Schizosaccharomyces pombe: one gene and its partner. Changing the gene in region 2 together with the main gene of any one other region gives a genetic interaction. Each region holds a gene or a part of one and is shown on either strand. Other genes may lie near its edges.

What was found.
Region 1: mutations in hus1 (region 2) and rad57 together harm fitness more than expected from each alone (negative genetic interaction), as found in Schizosaccharomyces pombe (3 studies listed by BioGRID, with this or other methods).

The regions. Positions count from the first base shown.
Region 1 is NC_003424.3:2,121,452-2,125,018, forward strand, and holds rad57 (DNA recombination mediator, RecA family ATPase Rad57/Rhp57), read left to right. Parts: upstream 1-1,578; 5' UTR 1,579-1,838; coding exon 1,839-1,905; exon of another isoform or gene 1,906-2,000; coding exon 2,001-2,998; 3' UTR 2,999-3,055; downstream 3,056-3,567. Other genes in the region: gpl1 (Gpl1-Gih35-Wdr83 complex RNA-binding subunit), read right to left, coding at 1-757; whi2 (phosphatase activator), read left to right, coding at 3,541-3,567. UniProt on the Schizosaccharomyces pombe protein: Involved in recombination DNA repair and in the repair of gamma-ray-induced damage.
Region 2 is NC_003424.3:4,820,432-4,824,711, reverse strand, and holds hus1 (checkpoint clamp complex protein Hus1), read left to right. Parts: upstream 1-2,008; 5' UTR 2,009-2,133; coding exon 2,134-2,176; exon of another isoform or gene 2,177-2,224; coding exon 2,225-2,333; exon of another isoform or gene 2,334-2,398; coding exon 2,399-2,411; exon of another isoform or gene 2,412-2,465; coding exon 2,466-3,060; exon of another isoform or gene 3,061-3,117; coding exon 3,118-3,221; 3' UTR 3,222-3,725; downstream 3,726-4,280. Other genes in the region: fmp40 (adenylyltransferase), read left to right, coding at 63-1,769. UniProt on the Schizosaccharomyces pombe protein: Essential in controlling the S-M checkpoint that couples mitosis to the completion of DNA replication. It is also required for the response to DNA damage.

The DNA.
Region 1 (3,567 bases), 2.7 Mb from region 2:
CTTTTTTTGACAGAAAGGTATGCTTAACGGGTGTAAATGGAGAAGCGACTTTTTTTGTAATGTTGATAGATTTATCATACCGCATTTTTGGAGCACCGAGGTCGTATATATCTTGATCTTCTATCCCATCATCATTTAAAACACCTGATCCAAATCCACCGCGCAGATTTTTTGCCATTCCAACTGGTTTTCTTTCCAGCTGAAAAACATCGTCCGCTTGATACCCGATACCGTGATAAGCTTGGTTGGTTAACTTAGTGTCATCATAATACCCTTGAAATGGAGATATAACAAAATCATGACCGTTCCATCCAAGATTTTTTAACATTTTTTCGCCAATGCTATCGTCCCTATTTGAGAATTCTCTAAGTAGAGGATCATCAATTGGTATAGATGTATCAATCGTATTTATTTTCGAAGTATAAACTTTACTAAGCTCTTGGTCAGCACGATCTTCCTCGTCCATAATATCGTCAATAGTCATTCCATGCACACTTTTGTTTTCATTCCTTGAACTTTTCCAAGATTTAGGTTGCCAACCCTCTTTTGAACCAACCGTATTAAAATAGCCAGCAGAAAATCCACCAGTAAATGCACCATGAAATCTCTTTCTATTACGCTCATCCCTGGCTTCTTGTTTCCAAACAGGAACTCCTTGATTAATTCTGGACGGCTCAAGATCAAAAGGGGAGCCATAAACTACATAAGGGTGCCGATGAACATCGACATTGCTTCTTTTTCTTGAATTGGCATACATTTTAAAACAAGAAGTAATCGTGATCCGTAGTTAAACTGAAAAAAAAAAAATTCAAAATTCAAAATTTAAGGCATATTTTAGGATACTATAAGCCCATTATTTTTGAGGCGACAAGAATACTATGTTGAGCAACTTTTAATTTTTAATAAAGCCAGATAACTTATCAAAGAATTCTGATTTGTTGACAAAAGCAATTACAATACTCAATTTTTAAACAGTTGCCCTTGCTTCGAATTTCAGCTGCCTCCGTAGTGCAATCTGCGAGCGTTAGGGTACGTTATTTATCTATTACCTAATTCTTTGTACAGTTGAAGTTTCATGAGATGAAAAATGTATCATGTATATTTTGTCTGTTATTGAGAAATCTCAACAAAGTTCTATTTAGTATTACTTCATGTTGAACCAAGCATTCATAAACTAAGAAATTTGTTGGTAGCTGGTAAACTGAGCGAATTATCGTCGGTTGATTGGTAAAACATCATTTCTTATACTTCGTTTGCTCAACCATACTACGAATTTTAATGCCTAACAATTAATGAGCAATACACATTTGGATATGCTGCTTATATAATTTCACATATCTTGATAACTTAATTATCAATTAAGGAATGGTGGTTAGGCAAGTATGTGTATCATTACGTGGGGTTTTTCATAGATGTATGGTTTGAAGATGTTAAAAAAATAAGTGTAAGCGGTTACTATGCTAATGTTCTATAAAAACCAATGTTCATATAAATATTCGTCGATTGCGGGGCTTCTTCTCATAAGGATTATAATTACTAAACATAGAGGTATTGGCAGGTCAGTTGTAATTCGCGTACAACATCTTCGACTCACCACTTCTATAGTGGTACATAAATTACCGTTTCTTTCTGCGAAAAAGTGGGTTAGAAGTTCGTGCTATTACTTCTAAATAATCGTGAGAATTTAATTCAATCGTAGGATACAAAGCTGTTCATTATATAAAACTATCAACTTTCGAATATTCTATGGTGTGGATATAATTTTCATTTATCTTTATGAGTAAAAACTATACATATCATATTTACAATTAAAAATCTTCTTTCTTTCTACTATATGGATGGATATTTCGAATTATGTTGACAATTTCTACTTTGATGAGAAAATTGCTTCAGCATTTGAATTAGGTAAGCGTTTAGTAGTTCAATAAGCTTGCACATAAAAAAAAAATATTGGGTTTTTGTACCGGGATCTTAAAAGACGGAATTACTGACAGCTTTAGGAGAAGTAAGCACGGTTGATTTGTTAACGCTGGATATTACTGAGCTAGAAAGACGCACACATTGTAGTCAAAGTGAGTTATTACAGTTAATTGAGCAGATATCCCTCCTTCTTCAACCAGTAAGATGTTCTGCTTCCAAAGTCACTTCGAAATATTTGACAACTGGCGATGTAAAGTTGGATGAAACTCTACATGGAGGTATACCAGTAGGACAGTTAACTGAAATATGTGGTGAAAGCGGTTCAGGGAAGTCACAGTTTTGTATGCAGCTTTGTTTAATGGTTCAACTACCTCTCAGTTTAGGAGGAATGAACAAAGCAGCTGTCTTCATTTCTACAGAGTCCGGTCTTGAAACAAAACGATTATTTGAACTGGCGCGTTATTTACCAGAAAGGTATCCCAAAGCTGATAAGAAAGACATAATTATAAAAAATCCAGGAGATAGGGTGTATACTATATTATGCCCAGATCTGGAATCTCAAGAACATATCATTCAGTATCAACTGCCGATTTTATTCAATCGGGATAAAATTGGGTTGGTTATATTGGATAGTGTCGCCTCCAACTACAGAGCTGAGCTCCGTTACAACCGATCCAAAAGTCATTTTAGAGATTTAGATAATATTGCCAAACGTGGAAATCAATTGGGAAAGTTAGCTATGACTCTACGCACTTTAGCTCATCAACATGAAGCTGCTGTTGTCATAGCTAACCAAGTTAGCGATAGAATTCCTAGAGATTATGATGCTATTGGGTTGTTTAGTTTAGATTATCAATCGCAATGGTTTTCGGGATGGGATGACACAGATCCAAATCCCAAAATACCATCTCTTGGTCTCGTTTGGACTAATAACATCAGTACGAGATTAGCATTAATTAAGAAAACCGACTCTGCCACCAATAATTCGGGGAGAATCTTTCGGGTTGTTTATTCACCAAATTCTCCAAGGCTTGACGTACGAATATGCATAGGATCGGTTGGGATATATTCGTGCTAGCATTTTTGTAAAAATTTTATATATAATATAATAAAACCGGTTTATGAATTGCCCTAACTTTGTTTAATCGACTGTCGCTTATCAATCATTCGCAGAAAGAAAAGTAATGCTTTGAGTAACTGTTACATATATAAGTGTACTTATTTATCTTTATATTTATATTACCTCTGTCACTATTAAATATATATTTTGTTGATCTATGATGGTAGTGCATTTTTATTAGAATCCGACATACTTTAGTGGACTGAATTTTGGATATACCAGTTGGGTATTGAAATGGAAAAAAATACAATAAAAAGTTTTACACGTAACAAAGAATGCCCAAAGAGCTCTCTTAACCGACGAATGGCTTTTTCTACCTGTTTTTACTATTGCGCGTAAAAGATTTTGTAAGACCTTTCCGATAGCTTCCGCTATTGGCGATCCTTTAGAAATTTGCACCTAACATTTTTACCAAAAGCCAAGTATGCATTGGTGATATCTTGTAAATAAAAAATGAACATTCTTTTATAACATAATCGTTACAAAAATAGAACACAAAAATGTCAGTTCCAATTGATCGAATCAAT
Region 2 (4,280 bases):
TTTACACTGGGGCACAATCAAACATTGGTATGCAAAGAACATTAATTCGATATACCAATACGATGTCAAAAAAATTGAAGGATCTCCCTGTCAGCTCAACGTTCACATCAAATCTTCCGCCTGATCCACTGGTACCGACCGTACAGGCAATGAAAAAGGCTGATGACAGAATCTTACATGTTCCTCGATTTGTGGAAGGCGGCGGCTTATTTACTTATTTGACTCCATCACTAAAAGCCAATTCTCAATTATTAGCTTATAGCCCTTCGTCCGTGAAGTCATTAGGACTCGAAGAATCTGAAACTCAAACTGAAGCTTTTCAACAGCTTGTTGTCGGTTCTAACGTTGATGTCAATAAGTGTTGTCCTTGGGCGCAATGTTATGGAGGATACCAATTTGGGGATTGGGCAGGTCAGTTGGGTGATGGCCGCGTAGTATCCTTATGCGAACTTACCAACCCGGAAACTGGAAAACGCTTTGAGATTCAAGTCAAAGGCGCAGGAAGAACACCATACTCTCGATTTGCAGATGGAAAGGCTGTTTTAAGATCTAGCATTCGAGAATATTTATGTTGTGAAGCTTTATATGCTCTAGGCATTCCAACAACACAGGCTCTGGCAATTTCCAATCTTGAAGGTGTTGTAGCACAACGTGAGACTGTAGAGCCTTGCGCCGTTGTTTGCCGTATGGCCCCTTCTTGGATCAGAATTGGGACTTTCGATCTCCAGGGGATTAATAATCAAATTGAGTCTTTACGGAAATTAGCCGACTATTGTCTAAATTTCGTTTTAAAAGATGGATTTCATGGTGGAGATACTGGAAATCGCTACGAAAAACTTCTTCGAGATGTTGCATATCGAAATGCTAAAACTGTAGCCAAATGGCAAGCATATGGATTTATGAATGGTGTTTTGAATACTGATAATACCAGTATACTGGGACTATCAATTGATTATGGACCTTTTGGATTTTTAGATGTTTACAACCCATCTTTTACACCTAATCATGACGATGTATTTTTGCGATATTCATATCGCAACCAACCTGATATTATTATTTGGAATTTATCAAAATTAGCATCTGCTTTGGTTGAGTTAATTGGAGCTTGCGACAAAGTTGATGACTTGCAATATATGGAACAACTTCATAACTCTACTGATTTGTTAAAAAAGGCGTTTGCTTATACTTCTGAAGTTTTTGAAAAGATAGTAGAAGAGTATAAAAATATTGTCCAGAATGATTTCTATGATCTTATGTTCAAACGAGTGGGTCTTCCCTCTGACTCATCTAACAAAATTCTGATAACTGATTTGTTACAAATTTTGGAGGATTATGAATTGGATATGCCAAATTGTTTTTCCTTTCTTTCTAGAAACTCTCCCTCTTCAATGGAGAATGAAGAATATGCTGCAAAATTGATGCAAGCATGTATTTGTCTAAACCCGAATAATGAAAGAGTTAGAAATGAATCTGTCAAAGCTTTCACTAATTGGGTTGGTCGATATAGTGAAGCAACGAAAACTCAGGAAGATTCATCCCGATTAGCGAGCATGAAAAAAGTCAACCCACATTTTACTCTTAGAAATTGGGTTCTTGAAGAGGTGATTAAAGAAGCATACATCGGGAAATTTGAGCTTTTTAAAAAAGTGTGTAAAATGGCTGCCTGTCCGTTCGAAGATACTTGGGGGTTTTCCAAGGAAGAAGAGGATTATTTATGCTATAACACTACTCCCTCCAAAAGCCAAATTCAATGTTCCTGCTCTAGCTAGAACCCTTCTTACTTGCCATTTATTTTTTTAATGTAATTTAAAATTTAGGAATAGCTAATCGTATGAAATAAATGATACAACGAATAGGCTCTTGAGTATAATTTTTTTTAGACTCTAAGACTTTTGTAAATCTTTTTAAATTTTATTCATTAATTTTATTCCACTTGCCATTAAAATTTGCATTTGCTTAATAAAGATTGCGATGCAGTTGCTAATGCCCAGTTTGCTATTTCTTAGCTGGCTTTTACGCGTTCGTAGTTTTTTCGACCGAAAATTTATTATTGGTCGACTTTAACCTGCTAAACGCTTGAATAAACAAAATGCCAAAAAATCTCAATCTCATTAGTTAAATCAAAGACTGAAAATGAGATTTAAAACAAGGATTAGCAACTTGTACACGTTGACGCGTAAGTTGGAAAAGATCAGCAGAAAGTTCGTTTACTAATCAAATTTAGGTCTTGTTCAGGCGCTAGATAAAATTGGAAGATTTTGCTGGCTTCGTCTGATGCCTGAAACTGTAAATTTTGTGATAGTGCCAGATTTTAGGATGACTCAAGTTTGGTCGTAAGTGAAGATATTAAGCATTTAACGGTGAAAAAAATCACATTGTGAAACTAATAAAGAAACAGAGTTTTAGAAGTCGTATGATTAACTATCTTTTTCTATTTGATTGCCCTAACTAACGTAAACGGAAAGGAAACAATATTTGAGGACTATGTCGTCCAAAGCAATGCAGACAACGTGATAAATCTAGAAGTTCCTATAGATAATTTCTATAAAGCCTTACGATCAGCGGCCAACGCTAGTGATTCTACTGTTCGTCTATCCAAGAAGAATAACCAGCCATTACTTTCGTTGTCTACCACTTGGAGTGGAAGGGCGTTTGGTTCGAATATTGTGACTCATAATATACCTGTTCGAGTACTATCACAATCATACGTGTCAGTTATTAAGGAACCAACTGCTCCTGAACCAGACTGTCATATATTCCTTCCACAACTGAATTTTCTAAGACACGTCGTGGACAAATACAAGAGTCTTTCAGACCGTATTATAATGTCAGCCAACATGTCAGGCGAATTGCAGTTATCGGTAAACATACCTTCAGCTAGAGTAAGCACAAAATGGAAAGGATTAGAGAATCCAGAGTTAGATCCTAGTCAAGTCGAAGACATCAGTCGACATCCCTCTCAAACAAGGGCACCCGAAGAATTTGTTCACATGAGACTAGACAGCAAGGACTTAGTCAACATGTTAAAAATATCCAGTGTTGCAAAGCGTGTAATAGCGTGTATGTACTATGAGAGAATCCTTTTTATGACCACGAACTAACCTTTTTACATTACAGGTTTCTGTGAAGGACATGCGCTAGTACTTTATGTTTATATAACAGATCCAGAAGATGAACATACGGCTGTTTTAACATACTACATTAGTACCTATGTGGACTAAGGTTACTTCAATTTGTTTATGATTTGATTTAATTAACGAATAATTGTTATGAGTGACTAGCCACATTTTTAATGTACATTAAAATGAAAAGAGATTAATCAACATCTACCATGCTTATACTTATTTTCTCTCTCTTCCTTTATCGATCTTACCGTTCTTTTTTATTTATTTTATACAGTTGTTGTAATCTCGGCAACTCAGTGTTTTACTATTCCGTTGATATCTCTTAAAAGGATAACACCAAAAAGAAATATAATGTTCAAGTCACAGAAAATCTGTTGATAAAATCCATATGTTTTCACGTTTTCAATGAGAGATACATACGATTAAACACAAACGTATGTTTTCAAGCAATTAACTTGAATATGAATAAACCTTGGTTCATCTTTCTTTAATCTTTTAGACAAGCAACTGTTCAGAAATCTATAAAGTCTCAATTGAACATTTAAGTGCTCAATGGGAAATATATACTTAATAAAAATTGAATATTTTAATCGTTTTTTTGAGAAGATATATGCCATTGACTGTAGCTTCTATTAATTTCCGCCTATTCTTTCTTGTACTTTGGAGGCATCGCTATACATTTTACGTAGAAGTGATGAAAATGGCGAGTTCCTCTTTAAAAGTGCGAAAATTTCAGGCTGTCTGTCATCGGAATTGACTATGTTCGATAGTTATTCCTCCTCCGATGCAGTCGGCTACACATGTAAACTGTACCAACATTCAGTACGAAAGGGGCTGAACGTTGTTACCTAGAAAAGTTGGTATCGCAATAGAGGTAACGATAGTGAAAATCCCACAATAACTTAAATATGGAGAGGTATCCGGGGAAATCCGCTACATAAACAACACATATACAGACATATAAATTGACTTAAACGTACCTTCTTTCTATAATAGTTTTACCGTTCCTTAATTGCAAATTCTTTCTTGTTTTCATAGATAGCATTGTTACTATTATTGTTATATATTCAATATAGACTGATAATTAGGATTGTACATTTCGTTTCATTTAGAGAAAAAAAAAAGGAATAATTTTCATGTTTTAAATTACTCATC